Linked DNA regions of Xenopus tropicalis. The protein of the gene in region 2 interacts with the protein of the main gene of each other region in a pairwise test. Links are inferred from orthologs where the notes say so. Each region holds a gene or a part of one and is shown on either strand. Other genes may lie near its edges.

Region 1 (5,030 bases), about 48 Mb from region 2:
CCCCTAATAGCCAATCACAGCCCTTATTTGGCTCCTCCATGAACTTTTATGGTGCTTGTGTTGCTCCCCAAGTCTTTTTACATTTGACTGTGGCTCACAAGTAAGAAACATTGGGGATCCCTGTTCTAGATAATACCCAAGTGTAGCAGAGATGATGAGCAAAGTGCCTATTGTGGTATCACCCAATCAGATATAGCCCTGCCCAACGTTGGACTGACCAAACAAGGAACCATGTAGGGAAACCATAGCCGCACATGTACGACAATGACCCCTCAACTCTTCCCTGAGCCCAGAGGTTCAACTAAACTTGCCAGACCCTGGTGCCTCCACATTGGCCAATGATATTCCTACAAGCTAGAGAACATCAGATCATTGGTTAACTCTTCAAATCATGAACACTGGAGGGTTGAACAGAATGCACCAATTGGAAATAAGTTATGGAGTTGAATGGGTTGGGTGTCCCTATGGGTGTAGGAGATGCCAGTGACTTGCCCGGAGGCCAATCAAGAGGGGGAATATGGATGTGTCCCTCATGGCTCTCCATACATCCTTTATCCAGGAACCTTTCCCCACAGGAACTGTGACCACAGCAAAGGCCCCGCCTCTCCATACACAATATTACAGGCCATTTATTTGTCGGAATCCTACAAAAATAATAAAAAAAGCAGCATGTGGCAGTAACAGTAGTAACGGAACAGTATGAAGAGTATCGGGCTCTGGCGTCAGGAGGTAGCGGAGGTATCAATACGCTTTGCCTATTGCTCGGGGGCGTTGCCATAGGGGTCGCGGACCTGTTCTACGGAAGTGGCAGGAAGAAGCCGCCGATGGGGCCGAAGCAAATCCCACCGGTGTCGGGTCAGGCAGCCTCACTGCAAAGAGTAACGGGGGGGCAATAAGTTTCCATGTACAGGTAGGGTATGAGTAACAGGACCACCAGGTTAACATCAACAGGTTAACTGGGTGGCACTCAGTGCAAGGTTCAGGTAGTGTTTATGGGTGAGAGAACCTTTGCTAATAGCATTTAAAGGCAAACTATACCCCCCAAACAATGTACTGTAGGTCTGTACTGTATAGGTGCCCATGGGAGACCCCCACTTACTCTCATCTTAATTTCCACCAGGATGCAAACTGCCTGCCCTGATTGGTTTCCTGATGGAAAACATGGCTGGCTGTGCTAGTATTCATCAATGGCCAATGACCCTTACTGCTTAACTTTCCCTTGAGATATAATAGCCCCTCTAACTGCCGCCCACTGCCATGTCAGGCTTACAGGTAAGTATCGGCCAAGACTTACACAGCTTCCGCTTTAAACCTCTTAAGCGCTTCCTCGGCCACCAGTTCCCCAAACTTCGGGTCATCCATGGAGATGTATCCGGGCAAAGCGAAGGTTATTGGGTCGGAGTCGAAGACGTTGACGGTCACTTTGGTGTCGGAAGGAGACTCTCCTTCCTTGGAATAGATCTAATGAACATAGAGACGTAAGGAATGAGTGGAAAGGGGCAGAAGGCAAGAGACGGGCCATAGTGTAGAAGGTCTCCGAAGGGGCATCAAGCCCTTAACCTAATGCTCATGGTGGGACTTTCTACACGTATTAAGATCAGGGCATTAAATGAACATTGCTCAGTTTGGGTCAGAGTCAAAGACGTTGATGGTCACTTTGGTATCGGAAGGAGACTCCCCTTCCTTGGAATAGATCTAATGAACACAGAGAAGTAAGGAATGAGTGGAAAGGGGCAGAAGGCAAGAGACGGGACACAGTGTTGGCTTTCTGAAGGTCTCCAAAGGGGCATCAAGCCACCAACCTAATGCTCATGGTGGGACTTTCTACACGTATTAAGATCAGGGCATTAAATGAACATTGCTCAGTTTGGGCCCACAACTGCTCAGTGGTGATGCACTTGATTTAGGAAAATGGTTCTGCCCAGTGAGCCCATTGGGTCCATTACAGTTACCTGATATACAGGAAGTAGGGCTCAAATCCCAAGTAACTCTAGGACCTCTGGCTTTGTGGCCCTGAGAGAGAACCTTTAGCCACATTCAAAATGTCTCTGTTGAACTTGCCAAGGTGCCCAGAAGGTCCTTGGTACCAGGAAGCCACCACACCCCGGCCATTGGAGGAATAACACAATGCACCACTTACAGTGGAAACTTGGAAGATCCCATTCTTTCTGCCCTGGGTCATGTTGGTGAATTTGGAAAGCCACCCAAACTGCTTGTTCAGCTGCTCCAAGATACCGGTGGTGTTGAGCATCTTCTCCCGGAACTGTTCCAAGAGGTCGTCGTACTCCCTGGTGAACCTCTCGGCGAGGCGCAGGGAGTCCTGAAACACCTCCTGCAGCTGCTCCTGCACCGGATCCTTCCCGGAACAATCTAACATCCAGATAATGAGCCCCATGTGATCAAACGGAAAGTAAAAAACTTCATAGATTTCATTAAATTAAGAAACATGTTTTTGAATGAGTGTCTCAAGGCCCCGGTGTGGCCCCCAGAGATGTGTATGGACCCCCCGCCATGCCCATGACATCATCAGGCTGCTACACATGACATCATTATTACAATTATACTATAAGGGAAATAGTGGGCAACACTGGCAAAAAATAAATGCCTTGGCCTTGGCCATCTGCTGGCAGAATGCGGTATTGCAGCAGGTCCGTTCATCTATTTCTGGGGCTCAATGCATTTCCACAAATAAGAGCATTCATGAATGTACTTGTCAGTACTTATCTACAATGTAACCTACTTACCTAATGCTAAAATCTCCTTGCATTTCTCACACTTTTCCTGCATCTTTAAACAGCCGGCTGAATTGCGACGCAACTCCTTACAGACCAGTTTGTCATCGGATTCATCGCCATTTCCTACATAGGAAACAACATTCATTGGGGGTGGGGAGGAAAGGAGATCTCACCATCAGCATAGGAAGGGGTTCCTTACTGTAAGGGCAGTCAGGTTATGGGGTTCCCTACCAAGAGAGGGGGAATGAGTGATACATTGGGGGGGGGGGAGGAAAGGGGATGTCACCAGCAGCATAGGAAGGGGTTCCTTACTGTAAGGGCAGTCAGGTTATGGGGTTCCCTACCCAGAGAGGGGGAATGAGTGATACATTGGGGGTGGGGAGGAAAGGGGATCTCACTATCAGCATAGGAAGGGGTTCCTTACTGTAAGGGCAGTCAGGTTATGGGGTTCCCTACCCAGAGAGGGGGAATGAGTGATACATTGGGGAACCCTGGGAGATGGCACACAGTATAATACTTACCCCTTATGGAGCCCAGTCCTTCCAGCCTTGGGGCAAAGTGGTGACTTCTTTCCATCATTTTCTGTGCAGCCTCTAAGAGGGACTCGAAGTCCCCAGAGAAATAGGGGTGGAACGAGGGAGACCTTGCCCGCCGAGACTCAGCAAATGGGAACCCGACTCGCTGGAAGGGAAATGGGTTCCACTGAGACCCAAAGAAGTCACTATGGAAGGAATTACTGAAGAACGGCTTCATTTGCCCAAAGGCTTTGATGCTTTCCCTGAAGAGCTCATCGACACTGTCCTCCACCAGACTGTAGCCCCCCTCAAGGTCATCCAGGGTCATAGACTGCTGCTCTCCCTCCTGGGTCAGCGAGTTGATCTGCTGTCCATTGATTAAAATGGAGAATGGAGAAGATTGGTTCAGGAATTCCTCAAACTGCAACAGGAAAGAGAAATGTGGAATGAGCGAGTTATAGGCCTGGGTGGTCCCCCAGCTGATGGTACAACACAACCTCTAGCAGCACCCTTGCATCCAAGGCTCTGGTCTCCTTACCTTACCAGGAGATACCTGGTGGTCCAGTGAGCTCTCTACTCCACCCAACCAGCTGGCCTCACTTATCTGCCTCCACCATGGCTTTCTTGTCTTCCTGAGGGCCACTACAAGAAGTTCTTAGCTAGGTATTATTCCCAATCACAGGGGGGTGTCCTCCTGTCCAATAATAGAGCTGTGGGCTCCATTTATTGTCTTATGGCCTTCCTACATGCTGAACATTAGGGCATCTTACTTCTAAGGACCCTAAAGACCACTTATGATGGATCAGGAAAGAAGACAGGCCCACCTTATGGTGGACCAGGAGAGAAGACAGGCCCACCTTATGGTGGACCAGGAGAGAAGACAGGCCCACCTTATGGTGGACCAGGAGAGAAGACAGACTCCCTCATGGTGGAGCAGGAGAGAAGACAGGCCCCCTTATGGTGGACCAGGAGAGAAGATAGACCCCCTTATGGTGGACCAGGAAAGAACAGTGAGTTGAAGGTTCCCTGGTGGTACCACCCAATAGCAACGCATTCGGACAGACTACAGACAGGTGTCAGACTTACCTGGCGCCCCACCAGGCCAGAGCCGCTCCGGCAGGTTTTGGAGTAGAACCTCACACAGGTCTGTTTCAGGCAGGGCTTGCACTCCTCCCAGAGGGCCAACATGGTCTCGTTACACACCTCCTTCTTCTCCGCAAGCTGCTGCTCCGTGTCTAGGGCTCTCTTTAGGGCTTCCTGCCGGAACCAACGGGATCAAATGGGTTTCAGTCAGAAACTGCCCAGAAACTGTACATTCTAGAACTATTGTAGAACTACATCATTGTGAGACTATCTTCTGAAGGTGCTTCTACTGGTAGATATAATGGATCGTTTTAAGATGTGTCAGATGTGTCTGAAAGGTCCACAAAGATAAAAGCATTGGAGTAGTGGAACTATGTTCCTCTGTATGTAGCAAGGGGTTTTGTGGGGTTGATACATGTTCTCTTTGTCTCTTGCTTATTCTAGGGATTGGATGGATAGATAGATAGATAGATAGATAGATAGATAGATAGATAGATAGATAGAGATAAATGATAGATAGATAGATAGATAGATAGATAGATAGATAGATAGATAGATAGATAGATGATAGATAGATAGATAGATAGATGATAGATAGATAGATAGATAGATAGATAGATAGATAGATGATAGATAGATAGATAGATAGATAGAGATATATGATAGATAGATAGATAGATAGATAGATAGATAGATA
Region 2 (5,832 bases):
CCAAGTACAGGTATGGGATCCCTTATCCAGAAACCCATTATCCAGAAAGCCTGTCTCCCATAGACTCCATTTTAATCAAATAATTACAAATTTTAAAACTGATTTGCTTTTTCTCTGTAGTAATAAAACAATACTTTGTAATTGATCCAAACTAAGATATAAATAATCCTTATTGGATGCAAAACAATCCTATAGAGTTTAATTAATGGTTTAATGATTTTTTAGTAGACTTAAGGTATGGAGATCCAAATTACAGAAAGACCCCTTATCCGGAATACCCTTGGTCCCGAGCATTTTGGATAATGGGTCCTATACCTGTACTGCATAACTTATGATAGATATGGAGTGTATGATCATATAATCACCCTAAATGACTGTCTTATAAAACACTGACAATGTCACCCCCCAAATTCTATAATCAGAAGTTGCCTTGCCTACTTATAAACAACTAGACTAAATGAACAACAGTAGCTGTTGAATACACACACACAAAATAAATGGAAAACAAGCTTCAATGGCGTTGTGGAAATATGCATTGCTTACACTGAAAGTAGGGCACAACCGCAAGCTAACAGGGACAAAATATATTGTTTTAACATCATGACAAAACTGATAGTATATACTGTATAACAAATTTCTTCTGCTGAAATTGAATTTTCCTTATAAGACACAAGCAGCCCTTTTTGGTGGCAAATGGGTTAACAGTCCTCAATCAAGCCTGTGATTTCAAAGCATTGATTTGAAATGCTAAATAGCACAATATGTGCTGGGTGAAATAATACAGAATGCTACCTGCTGGCTTTTTGTTGAATGCCAAGAACAGCACATTGCTCATTTAAATCCAAATTAAGGATTGCATAAAATACTAAAATATACCTTAATAATATGTTTAAGAGAACCATCATAAATTCAGCTATGTCCAATAAAGGGTGGCAAATTGTGGCTAAAAAGCAGTTGAAGGGAGTGTGTGACTCTGGAGCCCTTGGCTGCCTTCACAGCATCAAACATTTGACAGGCCCGCTGCAGAAATAAAACAAGCTGTCCTCGTCAGGCTCTGTTTGGACAGGTCCAGTGCCCAAGGTTGTTTCTGCAACAGACTTGACCCTTGACAGGAATCTCAAGGTAAGCCAGCAGGGAAAAGAACTAATGGCAATCCAGAAAAACCTCTAAGCGCTGCTATCCTTTCCACTCAGGCAGCCAATGCACTATTGATTCCCCATCCAGGCACTGTGAAATGACTGGGAAACCTTCATACCATCAATATGGTTTCTGACCTTCCACTACGATCATAAATTGTTTTCCTCTAAGAATAGCAAAAATTGGATTGAAACAACTACAGCATAAGGCGTGCTGCCTTAGACATAAAAGGGTTAATGCTTTGTGGATTTGCCCCATACATTCATAATACAAACAGCTTGAAAACATAATAGAGATTGCATCCATCTAAAGCCTGAAGGATTTATTTAAACTTGCAGAGTCAGATACACAAGCAGGATATTATTTAAGAAAGATATGTTTAATTCAAATGATATGATGGGTCCACTGACTTTATATTTCTGTTTAGGCTTGAGATAAAACCAGCAAGCACGAGCACTGAAGCAGACATAAGACTCTCAATTTAAACAGCCCTACGAGCCATGTCCATCCTTAATCTCGCTGACTGTACAATAGTCTAGCACATCCAGCCATACAAAGAATGCTGTTTCTTACAGACACCATGTGAACATGACAGCTAGCACAGCACAGCCCTCATTAGCACAGGTCATTTTAGGAAGCCTGAGTTGCAAGTGCCTGCAGACCAGAAACTGCTGCTATCTTACGTGCATTCCACTTGTATATATACATGCTTTTTCCAAAGCGAACATGGCACCCTTTAACTAACAATGGCTGGTATGTTGTACAGTGGATAATGAAAACAGATAGCTCCTCAACAAACAGTGGAATGAGGAAGGAGTCAATTTAAACCAAATATGCTCCCAATGTAAGAGTTGGCACATAGCAGCGACAAAAATCTACGATTATCTACCATTATTAAAGTAGCCTATTGACCTGAGAATTGTCCGGTTACTATGCCATCAACCTTATTGTCTTAGGAACTCTACTGCAAGAAGGGCTTGATTGGTGGTAGAATTCAAAGAGCATTCTCTCCTTTTGCACTGGATCTCTAGGCTAAATCCAATCTTCCATATAAATCACCAATGAGAATACTAAATTGCTCCCCACAACAATGTGGCCTTTGTCAGTGTGGCCTTTATACATGGCGGTGTCTTTCAAAATTTAATAGCATACATACAAAACAGAAGAATGGCATTATATAAAGACATGAAGCAATGAGAAACCCTGATGTGCCTTGTAGCAGTGATGTACCTGGGGCCCTCCAGTGCCGGCTGAACTACAACTTCCAGCATCCCCCACAGCCTATTGCACTGTACTGACTGAGGCAAAAGCAGACACTGATAATGGGAAATGAAGGCAGCGCAGCGGTAGGCAAGCATTGCTGTGATGTTTAGCCATCGACCATTCAATACAGCAATGAATTGATTTGCCCAACAGCCTCTATGTGCACATTCAGCAGATATACATAGAAATTGACCCCTTCCCCTACTTGTTAATAGTCCGCCCCACTCCTGAGATGATCACATGAATGCATAATGCTAATATTGCGTTTTAGGCTGAATATACTCGGTTTCTATGTACATCTTTATGTGTAAGTGGCTCACCAAATGCGATATAATGATGAGTGGCTTTGTGCCTGTTATTCACACACTGTTCTGCTATGGCTATTCCATTCACAATAGGAGAGCACTGACAGCAGCAAACCAGATGAATGAGCATTATTGTGTATAATAATCACATATCAGTGAGCAGCACAGTGCGGGCTGAATAGACAGCTCTCCATCTCGCCCCTAGGACTGGCACAATAAAGAGCCTATCAGCCCGGATCCCCCGCAGCAGCAGCAGCAGCTTCCCACAATAACCCCCCAGAGACATCACTCACCCTCAGCGCCGACAGATCTATCTCATCCAAGCTACGAGCCGGGGAGTCGCTCGCCATGTTTCCTTTTCTCTTGTATATTGCACAGAGCTCCCCGTTCTTCCCACCTTGCTGCTTCTCCCAGAGCCGAGCCCAGCATGCGGCGGTCCCGCCCGAGCCCAGAAGGTGTGCGGCTTGCGGTGCTATGAGAGAGGAGGCGGGGGCGGCTTGCAGTAGGACATGCTTGGGCTCTGCCTGTATGGCAGCTGCATTGAGAGGAATAATAAGACACTCTCACACTCACAGAGCGGAGGGATGGAGAGGAGCTGCTGAAACAAGCCTGTCACTGCTTCCTGGGAGGAGCCACACGCCAAACTAGGTGGATCCGTCCGGAGAGATGGTGCTGCCCAGCGCCGCCTTTTCCTCTCACGGTCGAGGAGCGTTATCTTATAGAGCGTGTGGGAGCGCTATCTTATAGAGCGTGTGGGAGCGCTATCTTATAGAGCGTGTGGGAGCGCTATCTTATAGAGCGTGTGGGAGCGCTATCTTATAGAGCGTGTGGGAGCGCTATCTTATAGAGCGTGTGGGAGCGCTGTGTGAGAGGGGCTCCTTATACTGCAGCAGGTGCATATAGCTAAACAGCCTTGCCTGGGGGGTGGGGGAGCTGTGTGTCCGGTATAGAGCAGGTAGCTAGCAGTAAGGTATTGCAGTACTTGGAGTATTATTATTTATATAGCGCCAGCGTATTCCGGAGGACGGTACAATGCAGTGGGAAAAGGAACAAACCTTAATCTCGGTACTAGGTCACCAGATCTGGATGGAAAGGCAATATGAAGAGTAGCTGGTTATAAGCAGGGCATTCTGGGATTGGCCGGTATATGTAGGCGCAAAGGAGCTGTAAGAATGGCATGGGGGGGGGGGGGCTGGGCAATATGGAGAGTAGCCCAGAAACCCTGGGCAAGGCATGCTGGCCTATAACAATATAAAAGATCAGCCTAGCAGTGGTAAGGATGGCAGGCAGGGATAGAACAATATAACTTGCCTTGGAGAAACCCTAAGGGCCATGACACACGGGGAGATTGGTCGAATGTCATCCTAGAATGTAAATCGCCGGTGGGATGGCATGCGCAGCTCCGCGGTTTGCCGAAGTTTCCTTGAGAGGAAACTTCAGCAAATTGCGGCGCCGTGTATGCCATCCCACCGGCGATTTACATTCTAGTCGGTGGGATGGCATTCCAGACGCGACTAATCTCCCAGTGTGTCACAGCTCTAAACCGTGGCAGACGGGGAGATTAGTCACCCGCGACAAATCTCCCTTGTCGCGGGCGACTAATCTCCCCGAAATGCCATCCCACCAGCGAGAATGTAAATCGCATACGCGGCCCCGAAACCCCGTGCTGCGTATGTGATCCCACCGGCGATTTACATTCTTGCCGTTGGGTTGGTATTTCGAGGAGATTTGTCGCGGCCAACTAATCTCCCCGTCTGCCATGGCCCTAAATAGGGCATACTGGGAAAATTTAGTTGAGCTGTAATTAACAAATGGTGGAATAGGGAACCATGCAGAGCATTTGAAAAACTAGTATCAAAGTATGCTGTTAGGAGTATATTAGCTTAGAATCCAAAAATAGTATTTGTTGGGATAAGCCAGTCAGAAAGCAGCAAGCTGAATAGGGCAAAATAAAGACTCCAAAAAGGCTATAGTGAGTTAGTGCTGATTGAGTGTCTAGTGCAGGGCTCCCCAACCTTTCTTACTCGTGAGCCACAGTCAAATGTAAGAAGACAAAATAAAGGCCAAGATTGGCTATTAGGTAGTCTCTATGCACACTATCAGTTACAGGGGGCTTTATTTGGTAGTAAATCTTTTTTTATTCAACCTAAACTTGCCAAGTCAGAAATTCAAAAATAACTACCTGGTTTGCAGGCACTGAGAGCAACATCCAAGGGGTTGGTGAGAATCATGTTGCTCACCAGCCACTGGTTGGGGATCACTGGTCTAGGCGGAGTTACATATGAAGCATGCAGGAGCTGGACTGTTAGGAGCTACAGAAGATTTAGTGCTATGAGAGTAGGTCCCAGCATGTTTGTATGTAGTTAGGGTCATAGATAGGCTTAGAACCAGAGAACATGCATATAGGGCTTATATGTAAGTATTTTGAGAAGAAGAAACCAATAAAGCATGTGGAAATACAGAGCAAGAGTATGTTAATTTGCAGCACCCGAAGAACAAGATATTTGTGTAGTATCTGCTTACTGCAGTTTGCCCATTGCCCAAACCTCTATCATTCAGTGCCACAGCTGTAAGCCACTGTGAGGCCCCCTAGTTCTCATACAGTAATCTATCTACTTATCCTCACCCATCAAAAGCACTTGTAGGGACCCATAGGGTTAATCTGCCCCTATTGCTTTAAACCCTACTACTTCCTTAGTTTATGCTGTTACTGGGAAAAGACCCATGTATCTAGTTTATCCTTTGCTATTATACCTTATTGCTTTATTTGGTTGATCACACCCCTTGCACTCCAAAATAGTGCTTAGCAGGAGTGTGTGGCTTCCTCTGTGTCTCAGGAACAGGTCACTAGCCTGGGATCAGAACAAGGCCCCAGTAAAGTCTTATTGCCCTAGGGTTACCATCTTATACTCTAGAGAAGTCGGGGACAGGGACCCCGTGCACAAGGACCAGTTAGATAGTTACTCTTTTAAGAGCATTCTCTAGGAGAGTGAGATAGAGAGGGATGGAAGCAAGCACAGTTTCAGCTCCACCAAGGAAAGTAGCTGGAAGTATCCCTCCATACAGGCAATGTTGCCAAAGCATAGGGCCACGGTTAAGACATAGATGACAGGCAGTACTTAAACCC
Region 3 (5,582 bases), on a different chromosome or scaffold from region 2:
AGGCAGGCTAAAGACAGTAGACTACTGTTACATTTTATTTGAGTCTCAAAGTAGTCATCCATATTATTACATTAAATTTAAGAAAAGGCAGCATAATAATAATGTATATTGCAAAGTTGCTTGAAATTATGTTTACTTTTCATAAACCTTACATTGTGTTTGGGTGGAGTTCCCCTTTAAATGATTTTAGACCTTAATTGGAATTGTTTACAAAAAAATATCAGCTGTTTTTTTCCTATCAAAAAAGCTAAAATAAGTCTTAGCTAGAACACAAGGTGTAAATTACACTAAACAGATGATTGCAATGAAAGCAGGCAGTTTGTAATTCAGTTTTTAGAAAAGTTCAGTGACATAAACTTTCAGAAAATCTAACAAATTCAATTTATCCAAAAGAATGACAGATCAGCAAAAACAGACATTAGCAATCAATAAAGACAAAGAAGTAGGCAGACTTCTACATATAGTGAATAAGAGCACTCAGCAATGTTGGAAAAGTGTTACATGTTAATCCTGCTGAAATCTAAGCAGCCGTCCCTGTGCTGCAGCTGTCCCACAAAGAGCCAAAAAGGCACCAACACATGCTTACACCTGTTCAGAGATTCATGAGTTTAACAGTGAACATGAATATAAAAAAGGAGAAGGGCTATATACGATTTATGCTTTCGTAAAACACATACACATTGTCCTTTTAGCAAATATGCACAACTATACAGTGTTACAAAGTAGCTGCACTGAATACACAACACTTTCAGCGAATAAAAACAGGCATTTAACCCAAGAAGCACAGAAAGCAGTAAACGGTAAATATGGGAGCATAATTTATTGTTACACTGACATGCAATAACATGCACTGTTTATGGGCACACACACACACACACTAACTCCTGGCATAGACATGGGTGCTTTATGCACAATGCAAAAATATATACTATTTTATACAGCTGTGGGTATGTGTTGCTCTGCAGCAAGAAAAAATACACATATTTATATTCAGAATGCAAACACTACAACAGTAACCCATGGTATACATGTGAAATTGACACCAATGGAAAAAGTGATTTAAGCAAAATACACTTTCCAAATACAAGCCATTTTATACAGTTGTGGGTATAAATGTGTCTTGATTAAAAGTATACCTAAATAGGAAGAAAACAGACACACAAGTACATACACTCGCACCTATATTCTGTATGCACACACTACAACACTAATCCATGGCATGCAAAAAACCTTACACCAATGAAAAAAGTTATTTAAGTACACATACATTCTATGTACCTGCCATTTGGCATATATGTGGGTATAAATGTGTGTTTATTTTTAAGTATTTCTCTTCAACAGATACACAATTACGCACCCTACAACACTTACCCATGGTATACATGTAAAATTAACACCGATAAAAAAAGTGATTTAAGCACGATACACATTCTAAATAGAAGTCAATTTGTATAGTTGAGGGTTTAAAAACTATTAAGTATTCCACTGAATGTGTATCATTTTGTGCACATACTGACACAGAAGCTGCACACAAACATATAATACCACAAAGTGAAACATACACTGCACTTAACATAATAGGCAAACAGGATCCAGACACACCAAAAGCACACAGAGACACAAGAAACCAGTTGCACCAAGCAGCAAAGTGATGTGAAGCAAGTACCACAATGATGCACAGAGACATGCACAAGTGAAGGGAATGGTACAAGGCCCCAGGGTACATAGAGTGATACATGCACAAGGTGGCTCATAGGTAGAATGTTTGGGTGACATGTGCACAATGTGGCTAATGGCAAGGCATAGTGACACATGGACAGAATGCTGTAAGGTGCCATGCACACACAGGAGGTTGGATGGTGACACATGGACAGAATGCTGTAAGGTGCCATACACACACAGGCGGTTGGATGGTGACACATGGACAGAATGCTGTAAGGTGCCATACACACACACAGGAGGTTGGATGGTGACACAAGGACAGAATGCTGTAAGGTGCCATACACACACAAAGGAGGTTGGATAGTGACACATGGACAGAATGCTGTAAGGTGCCATACACACACACAGGAGGTTGGAAGGTGACACATGGACAGAATGCTGTAAGGTGCCATACACACACACAGGAGGTTGGATGGTGACACATGGACAGAATGCTGTAAGGTGCCATACACACACAGGAGGTTGGATAGTGACACATGGACAGAATGCTGTAAGGTGCCATGCACACACACAGGAGGTTGGATGGTGACACATGGACAGAATGCTGTAAGGTGCCATACACACACAGGAGGTTGGATGGTGACACATGGACAGAATGCTGTAAGGTGCCATACACACACACAGGAGGTTGGATGGTGACACATGGACAGAATGCTGTAAGGTGCCATACACACACACAGGAGGTTGGATGGTGACACATGGACAGAATGCTGTAAGGTGCCATACACACACACAGGAGGTTGGAAGGTGACACATGGACAGAATGCTGTAAGGTGCCATACACACACACAGGAGGTTGGAAGGTGACACATGGACAGAATGCTGTAAGGTGCCATACACACACACAGGAGGTTGGATGGTGACACATGGACAGAATGCTGTAAGGTGCCATACACACACACAGGAGGTTGGATGGTGACACATGGACAGAATGCTGCAAGGTGCCATACACACACACAGGAGGTTGGAAGGTGACACATGGACAGAATGCTGTAAGGTGCCATACACACACACAGGAGGTTGGAAGGTGACACATGGACAGAATGCTGTAAGGTGCCATACACACACACAGGAGGTTGGATGGTGACACATGGACAGAATGCTGTAAGGTGCCATACACACACACAGGAGGTTGGAAGGTGACACATGGACAGAATGCTGTAAGGTGCCATACACACACACAGGAGGTTGGAAGGTGACACATGGACAGAATGCTGTAAGGTGCCATACACACACACAGGAGGTTGGAAGGTGACACATGGACAGAATGCTGTAAGGTGCCATACACACACACAGGAGGTTGGAAGGTGACACATGGAGCCAGTGACATAGACACATCAGAATGGCAGGGTGGCACCCAGACAAACAGGGCGGCGGGACAGCTCGCACAGACACAGCACGCCAGGAATATGCAAACAATGGAAGCCCCCCTTCCCCAGTGACAGCTGTCAGAGGGAGACACACACACAGACACAAAGCCTCCCCACATTCCCTTACCTTAGCCTTGCCGGCCTCCAGCTTCCTCTTCCTCTCCTGGTCCTCCTCCTCCATGCCTGCGCCTGTACAGACACACACAGCAATGCGCAGCGTTAGCTACAGCGCCTACCGCTCTCTCCCATCTCCACGTAAACATTCGGCGCACTCCTCTGACGTCACCCCAGCGCCCGGCAGCGGCGAGAGAAGTCAGTGGGGGCGGCACCGATTGCAGCAGTGGCAGAACTAGGAGTTGACAGCTGCTGTTGCGCTGCTGCAGTTCCCAGACACTTAAAGGGGCACTGCCCACACCAAGGCATTGTGTGCAAAACAGACAGAACAAAGACAATCTAGCATGTGAGCTATACTTAACCAGCACATGTCCTTATAATGAGAAATCTTTTCTTACAACGTGGTATTTAAGTGTAATATTTTCTTTAAATTGTAATTATTACTTAAAAAAGTTATTTTGTCTCTAAAATTTAAATGGTATACTATAACAATAGCATGACTTTGGATATATAGTAGTTGAGGTTAGACAAAGACACATCTGTCAAGTTTACCTTTATGCTCTGTTATTGCTGTTGGTTTACAATGCAAACCAATCATCTAATGTTTTTGCATTGAAAACATTTAGCAAGGGCCAATCCCTGCTGTGAATATGGTGCATCATATAGGTACCATTACTCTTACCAGAACTACTTTAATGCAACGGTACTTACTCTATCTGAACTGTATTTATTGATGATGTCTCTACCCACCTCTTACATTCCAGTTATTTGAGCACTCCCAGAACTCCCAGTGGGCCCCTCTGACAAAGCAATATGTGATCGCTGTATGAGGAGGAATTTTAGCTCATAGTAATTTAGCTCACAAAACCTATAAGAGAACCCTGGAATTATTTTGTACAGTTCATTTGTGCAGAGTCAGAACAGGTTGAATGGGCACACTGGTGTTCTTTTCAAGATGCAAAGGAGTGTTTATGGGTTCAAGTACCTTTGTATATAGCATCAAAGCGTATTTTTTAGCTAGTGTTTGTAGGAGGCTTCATATTATGTTCCATTAAGGTAAACATAAAGAATTATCCCATATGTGATGGGCTTGAACTCAGAAGTAGCTCTACAGAAAAGAGATCTGCGTATGACCACTATGGTTACTGTTGCTATTGTTGACAAGCAATATTGCAGTAATTACTCATGGGTATAAATACAAATATGCAGATACTGGAGGCAGTGTGCTTACAGTGAGAATACATTTTACTGAAAAACAGTGTTTAAGTTCCGTTTACAGTTGGTAGCTTTATCACTTTCAATAAAAGGGTTACAGAAACCGAATGTATTTAGACATCGAGGGGATGGTAGCAGTCTTATTAATGCTGTGAACCGGTGCAAATGTGCAGGGAAGGGAAGAAAAAGAGCAAAGAAAGAAGAGAGAAAAGAGGTAAAGAAAGAAAGAGAGAAAAAAATATATATGTAGTGTAGTAATTTCTCAATTCTGATTAGTAAACACACCTCAATCAAACTTATAGTGCAAATTTTAAAAAATGCTAATCAACCTTATAGTTGTGCAAAGACCTATTGGTGCCAATGTATAGTGTTGTTGTTCCACAACACCAATAGGCAGAGTACACCTCTCCAACAATTTACAAAGTGTTCAAGTGCTACTGGTTCTTTTGTTATATAGAATTCAGGGAGTTTGCAGGGAAAGTTTTTGAACTGTGGGAAGTAAACAGTGGGTATGTATTTTATTTTATTTTTGATATTTTATTAATGCTGTGAGAGATCAGGGGTTTTCTGTATTTAGACAGCCACTAAAGCATGTTAGCCAGCCATTGCACAGACTCAGTATTTGCAAATATGCGGACAATTTGTTTTTTTTTACATTCCATGTTCCTTTGACCTTCAGACCCTGGATCACCATATGTTACTGGGGGTAAGATACTGTAAAGCACAAGCACCGTCCAATGTTATTTAAGCTGTTTTTCACCTAAGGCCCTCTTTGTCGTGACATACTAAATATGAAACATATATTTGCAAGTAAATGAATGAATGCAGATTGCAGGTTAATAGTATACAAAGAAAAAAAAAACCTTCACGGAAAACTGTGAATATTTTAGCCCATAACACCATCAAAATCCCGTTTGTGAGATAAGTAATATACATTTGCTCTGTTCTGCTGACTATAAATTACCACTTCAGGAAATCCATTGTTATGAGCAGTGAGTCTGAAGAGCACTTCCACCTACCACACAGAACAGGAGCTTGTATAAATACATATTAATGAGCTATTATTCACCAGAAAGACAATACTGAGAAATAATTGAATATCTTTCCAAATATGAATATAAAGTATTTTTTGTCGTTGTGCAGCAGTAAAGAAATTGTTAC
Region 4 (5,662 bases), on a different chromosome or scaffold from region 2:
ATGCATGTAACATGGCCGAAAGCAAGAAAAAAGTTTAAATGCCCATGAAAATCAAATACATACTATAGCTGCTTAACAGCAATTAGTACATTTATATTTGAATAAAATATTGAGATACCAGCTTGATAACAATTTATACTATTATACTATACAGATAATATTTAATATAACTTTTTAAAGATGCAATGATAGAACAACTTTCAAAGCATTAATCAGGCACTGCATTGTAGGAGTGGCTTTCCATAAGACAAAGAATGAGCTTTATTTAAAAAAATAAAAACAAAGAAAACAAAAGAGTAAGGATAAACCACATTAAAACCACTGGGTAAAGGGTTTGTCACTCCTGGACAGAAATTTTAAAAAAAGCTTTCTGTAAAGCAAAAGTAGAAAATAGGGTATTAGTGTATACAAAATGTTAACCCTTCTATGTAAAGTAACAATGCAGAGCATTCCATTACTAATATACTAATATAAAATATCCTAACATTTAATGAACTGTAAAAGTTCACGGATAATCTGGCAACATACCTTTAACCAAGCAATTGATGCAGAGGAAATCAGAAGTAATAAAAATATCTCAGCAATTAAATGTCACAATGTGGGTATATGGTGTTTTACAGAGCCTTTGTTGTAAAGTCCAAGCATTTGGATATCCAGGAAGCAACATTTCACCACTGATAACGAAAATGGAAGTAAACAATGTTTTTTTGTTTTACTAAATAGCTCAAATTCAACCCAAAACTTAAGGTTTATATAGTGACATTTTAGTCAGGCTGAGATGCTAGAATCCCTTTAAAACACTGTGGAGAGTTTACTGTCACCAGACAAATAAAACAATAAATATTTATTCTCCACATAAACAAGATAAAATATAAAACAATTGTCTGATAGTATTAATTATATAAAGTAAAACCTCAACAAGTGTATAGAAGAAAAAAAAAAGCAAAAGCTTTGTTTAAAAGAAATTTTCAGTTTCTTAATTGCTCAGATTTAGTCACATAATTTGGTACTGTGAAGCTGTGTAATCCTGAATGATGCCAAATACACTATTTTAGCAGAGCTGCAGAGCCAAAGCATCGCCTCTGCCTCCTTACTCCACCCAGTTTCCTCTCTGTCCCTGTTTGACGGCGGTGCGCAGTATCCTTTATTATGAGCCCAAAAAAAAAAAAAAAAACCAGACAAACAACAAAATCGCTTCTATCCAATTGAACACATTGGGAAGCATCTAAACACACACATCTATATTATAAATATTTTAATTATCGAGATAGAAATATAGAAACTATGTTTTCTCTTCCAGAATACTAATGGTTAAGGATAAATTGCACAAGAACCATCAGCAACATGCAAACACAGGGCAGTTTTACAGCACTCAAAGATGAACACGCAACCCATAAAAAAATAAAATAAAACAGGGTTACAAATGCCTAGTCATGATTAAAATTCCTGGCGTAAGCAATATATTGTTCATTTGTTAATCTGAATGCCTTACATAGGCACACATGACAGAGATTTAAAAAAAAAAAACAGCTTTTCTAGAGAAATAACAAAGCATGGATTTAAAGAAAAATAGCACTTATCACCTTTAGAAAACCAAATGAGAGAATGGATGTCAGATTTATAGCAGACTTATTGATCTGCTAAAACATTAGGAGAAAAGATACCCATGTTTTACAAAATAAGTATGAAACATTTGTATCCGGATGACTAGTGCAGGTAATTACCATTAGTTTCAGCCATCATAATTTCCCATGTGTCAATCCCAACTCTTGCTGCAAGCCTTTCAAGTGTCTGACTTGCAACATGTACACACCTATACAGCATCGCATAATACACATAGCCCTTTATGGACTTAACCCATCATCCCTATCCTTGGAGACACCAGGGCATGACAATGTAAATGAATGTTATCATGATGTGAGCACTCAACTATAAAAGTTATATGTCAGAAGACTTAAATGGCAGCACTTGCATGACACAAAAGATGACAAATGTCACTTCTAGGCCCACCCCCCTGTTTTTCTTGATGTTCCGCACAAGAAGAGGCCCTTATGTAATGCTGTTTAGAGATGTAGCCTTGTCCAGATGGTGAAGACATCCCCGTTAGCAAGATGTTGCAGGAAGAATTAAAAATAACATAATACTGGAAAAGGTGCGGGGGCGGGCGTGTACAAACATGGAATGCCCCTGCCACACACGAGTTAAATTGATACACAGCAGTTATCTCGTTAAGGTGAAAGTCCTTTTATTAGTAAACGGCTTATCAAATGAATCAACTGAATCCACATTATATGCTTTTAACTGAAACTATGCATTTATGACACAGAAGTGAAATTGAAATTCATTTCCACAGAAACATTCATGTGCCCCCCAGGCACAGCTGGCTGAAAGTTGCAGTTCAACGACAATTAGTAGGCCACAAACACACACATCACTGCAGCAAAGAATCATATAAATAAGGGCTAGTAAATCATTAATCAAGGGCACAACAGACATCAAACCTGCAGCTCTAAACAAGTGGGGGTACCAGACCATCCCTTGATGCTTATAGCATATACATGTCTGAGGATTCACTGATTGTGATGTCAAAGACGCCCTACCCTATGTTCTCCAGTTGCTGCTGAACTCTAACTCCCACCATCCTTTGACAGCTGGGAAAAATGGTTCTGCAATAGCAGGAGGTGCAGGTTTTATAGCCAAGCTACAGCATTAGTAGGCATGTTGCTGTAATGTACCATTAAGGCGTCTTGTTTAAAGCGATGATCTGGCAAACTGCACCCCCACCCCTCCACAAACAACACCCACAAGCACCCCTATTATAAGCCTTCCAAGCAGAAGACTGGGGGAAGCAGCTCATGAAACAGCTGGGAAGGTGCAAGCAGGAGATCCTTGCCTAAAGCTTTCCTGTTCCACCCCCCTGCGGGCTAGGAACAGTAACGGCTGGCCGCCATTTTGAGAAAGTGAGAGAGAGGAGAAGATGAAGGAGGGAGGGGAGGAGGCGGCGGCAGCAGCAGCAGCAGCCACATCGTCAGACAAGGCCTTGCATCCCGCCTCTCTCCCGCCCGGTGATCTAGCCGGGCACTTACCGTGCAGGGTTATCCCAAGCACACAGCGGGAGAAGGATTTCTTCTCATGGCCGCCGGGCAGCTCCCCTGGGCAAGGTCTCTGGAAGGGCGGGGGATGAGGCTCCCAGTTAGAGCCTGACGAGGTGACAAGAAATCAAATAAATAAAAATAAAGAGCTTGGGTGTGGAGGTCGGCGGGGCTCGCTTGTATGTACGTTGTTTCCTGTCAAATTGCACTGAATCCGTCTTCTCTGCAGCTATTCCTTTCTAAGGGTCCGTGCCTCCCTTTCTTCTCCGTGGTTTCCGCCGGGGCTCTCAGGGAAGCCGCCGCCGCCACCGTGCTGTCAGCGAAACGGAGCTCAGGAGCGCGGTGACGTCATATCAACCGCTGAAGGAGAGGAGGAGGAGGGAGCGACCGGCCGGCTGTGGGGAGTGGGCTTGCTTAATCGGGAACCGCGCCTGCGCCCTAGCGGCGGCTGCCTAGGCGTGGACGAGGAGGGGGAGAGATGGGGAGGGATGACAAAGGCAAATGACGCAGGGAAGGCGGAGAGCGCAGGCGCCATTATGACGGAAGAGGGAGCATGCTTGCCCTTCGCGTTCACGTGAAAGGAGAGTTTGTTTGTGCAATTCCTGCGCTCCCCTGTGTGACAGCTGTCTCTGTGTGCGTGAGAGTCAGTACTCTGTATGTGTGTGTGAGAGAGTCAGTACTCTGTATGTGTGTGTGAGAGAGTCAGTACTCTGTATGTGAGAGAGTCAGTACTCTGTATGCGTGTGAGAGTCAGTACTCTGTATGCGTGTGAGAGAGTCAGTACTCTGTATGTGTGTGAGAGAGTCAGTACTCTGTATGTGAGAGAGTCAGTACTCTGTATGTGTGTGAGAGAGTCAGTACTCTGTGTGTGTGAGAGAGTCAGTACTCTATGTGTGTGAGAGAGTCAGTACTCTATGTGTGTGAGAGAGTCAGTACTCTGTATGTGAGAGAGTCAGTACTCTGTATGTGTGTGAGAGAGTCAGTACTCTGTATGTGTGTGAGAGAGTCAGTACTCTGTATGTGTGTGAGAGAGTCAGTACTCTGTATGTGTGTGAGAGAGTCAGTACTCTGTGTGTGTGTGAGAGAGTCAGTACTCTATGTGTGTGAGAGAGTCAGTACTCTATGTGTGTGAGAGAGTCAGTACTCTGTATGTGAGAGAGTCAGTACTCTGTATGTGTATGTGAGAGAGTCAGTACTCTGTATGTGTGTGTGAGAGAGTCAGTACTCTGTATGTGTGTGTGAGAGAGTCAGTACTCTGTATGTGTGTGTGAGAGAGTCAGTACTCTGTATGTGTGTGAGAGAGTCAGTACTCTGTATGTGTGTGAGAGGTTGGGAGTCAGTACTCTGTATGTGTGTGAGAGAGTCAGTACTCTGTATGTGTGTGAGAGAGTCAGTACTCTGTATGTGTGTGAGAGAGTCAGTACTCTGTGTGTGTGTGAGAGAGTCAGTACTCTATGTGTGTGAGAGAGTCAGTACTCTATGTGTGTGAGAGAGTCAGTACTCTATGTGTGTGAGAGAGTCAGTACTCTGTATGTGTGTGAGAGAGTCAGTACTCTGTATGTGTGTGAGAGAGTCAGTACTCTGTATGTGTGTGAGAGAGTCAGTACTCTGTATGTGTGTGAGAGAGTCAGTACTCTGTATGTGTGTGAGAGAGTCAGTACTCTGTGTGTGTGTGAGAGAGTCAGTACTCTATGTGTGTGAGAGAGTCAGTACTCTATGTGTGTGAGAGAGTCAGTACTCTGTATGTGTATGTGAGAGAGTCAGTACTCTGTATGTGTGTGTGAGAGAGTCAGTACTCTGTATGTGTGTGTGAGAGAGTCAGTACTCTGTATGTGTGAGAGTCAGTACTCTGTATGTGTGTGCGTGAGAGTCAGTACTCTGTATGCGTGAGAGTCAGTACTCTGTATGTGAGAGAGTCAGTACTCTGTATGTGAGAGAGTCAGTACTCTGTATGTGTGTGCGTGAGAGTCAGTACTCTGTATGTGTGTGTGAGAGAGTCAGTACTCTGTATGTGAGAGAGTCAGTACTCTGTATGTGTGTGTGAGAGAGTCAGTACTCTGTATGTGAGAGAGTCAGTACTCTGTATGTGAGAGAGTCAGTACTCTGTATGTGAGAGAGTCAGTACTCTGTATGTGTGTGCGTGAGAGTCAGTACTCTGTATGTGTGTGCGTGAGAGTCAGTACTCTGTATGTGTGTGAGAGAATCAGTACTCTGTGAGAGCGTCAGTACTCTGTATGTGTGTGAGAGAGTCAGTATTCTGTATGTGTGTGTGAGAGAGTCAGTATTCTGTATGTGTGTGAGAGAGAGTCAGTATTCTGTATGTGTGTGAGAGAGTCAGTATTCTGTATGTGTGTGTGTGTGTGAGAGAGTCAGTACTCTGTATGTGTGTGAGAGAGTCAGTACTCTGTATGTGTGTGAGAGAGTCAGTTCTCTGTATGTGTGTGAGAGAGTCAGTACTCTGTATGTGTGTGAGAGAGTCAGTACTCTGTATGTGTGTGTGAGAGTCAGTACTCTGTATGTGTGTGAGAGAGTCAGTATTCTGTATGTGTGTGAGAGAGTCAGTATTCTGT

What was found.
Region 1: the proteins of tnik (region 2) and clu interact in a two-hybrid assay, tested with the Homo sapiens proteins (2 studies listed by BioGRID and IntAct). The link is inferred for Xenopus tropicalis from reciprocal best matches to the Homo sapiens genes TNIK and CLU.
Region 3: the proteins of tnik (region 2) and akap9 interact in a two-hybrid assay, tested with the Homo sapiens proteins (2 studies listed by BioGRID and IntAct). The link is inferred for Xenopus tropicalis from reciprocal best matches to the Homo sapiens genes TNIK and AKAP9.
Region 4: the proteins of tnik (region 2) and pafah1b1 interact in a two-hybrid assay, tested with the Homo sapiens proteins (2 studies listed by BioGRID and IntAct). The link is inferred for Xenopus tropicalis from reciprocal best matches to the Homo sapiens genes TNIK and PAFAH1B1.

What each region holds. Positions count from the first base shown.
Region 1 is NC_030681.2:159,884,875-159,889,904, forward strand, and holds the end of clu (clusterin), read right to left. Parts: intron 4,508-5,030; coding exon 4,337-4,507; intron 3,672-4,336; coding exon 3,257-3,671; intron 2,859-3,256; coding exon 2,745-2,858; intron 2,371-2,744; coding exon 2,141-2,370; intron 1,696-2,140; coding exon 1,621-1,695; 3' UTR 1,604-1,620; downstream 1-1,603.
Region 2 is NC_030681.2:111,487,043-111,492,874, reverse strand, and holds the start of tnik (TRAF2 and NCK-interacting protein kinase), read right to left. Parts: upstream 3,543-5,832; 5' UTR 3,056-3,542; coding exon 2,999-3,055; intron 1-2,998. UniProt on the Homo sapiens protein: Serine/threonine kinase that acts as an essential activator of the Wnt signaling pathway. Recruited to promoters of Wnt target genes and required to activate their expression. May act by phosphorylating TCF4/TCF7L2.
Region 3 is NC_030682.2:31,454,459-31,460,040, reverse strand, and holds the start of akap9 (A-kinase anchor protein 9), read right to left. Parts: upstream 3,428-5,582; 5' UTR 3,274-3,427; coding exon 3,220-3,273; intron 1-3,219. UniProt on the Homo sapiens protein: Scaffolding protein that assembles several protein kinases and phosphatases on the centrosome and Golgi apparatus. Required to maintain the integrity of the Golgi apparatus. Required for microtubule nucleation at the cis-side of the Golgi apparatus.
Region 4 is NC_030678.2:47,815,406-47,821,067, reverse strand, and holds the start of pafah1b1 (lissencephaly-1 homolog), read right to left. Parts: upstream 3,373-5,662; 5' UTR 3,087-3,372; intron 1-3,086. UniProt on the Homo sapiens protein: Regulatory subunit (beta subunit) of the cytosolic type I platelet-activating factor (PAF) acetylhydrolase (PAF-AH (I)), an enzyme that catalyzes the hydrolyze of the acetyl group at the sn-2 position of PAF and its analogs and participates in PAF inactivation.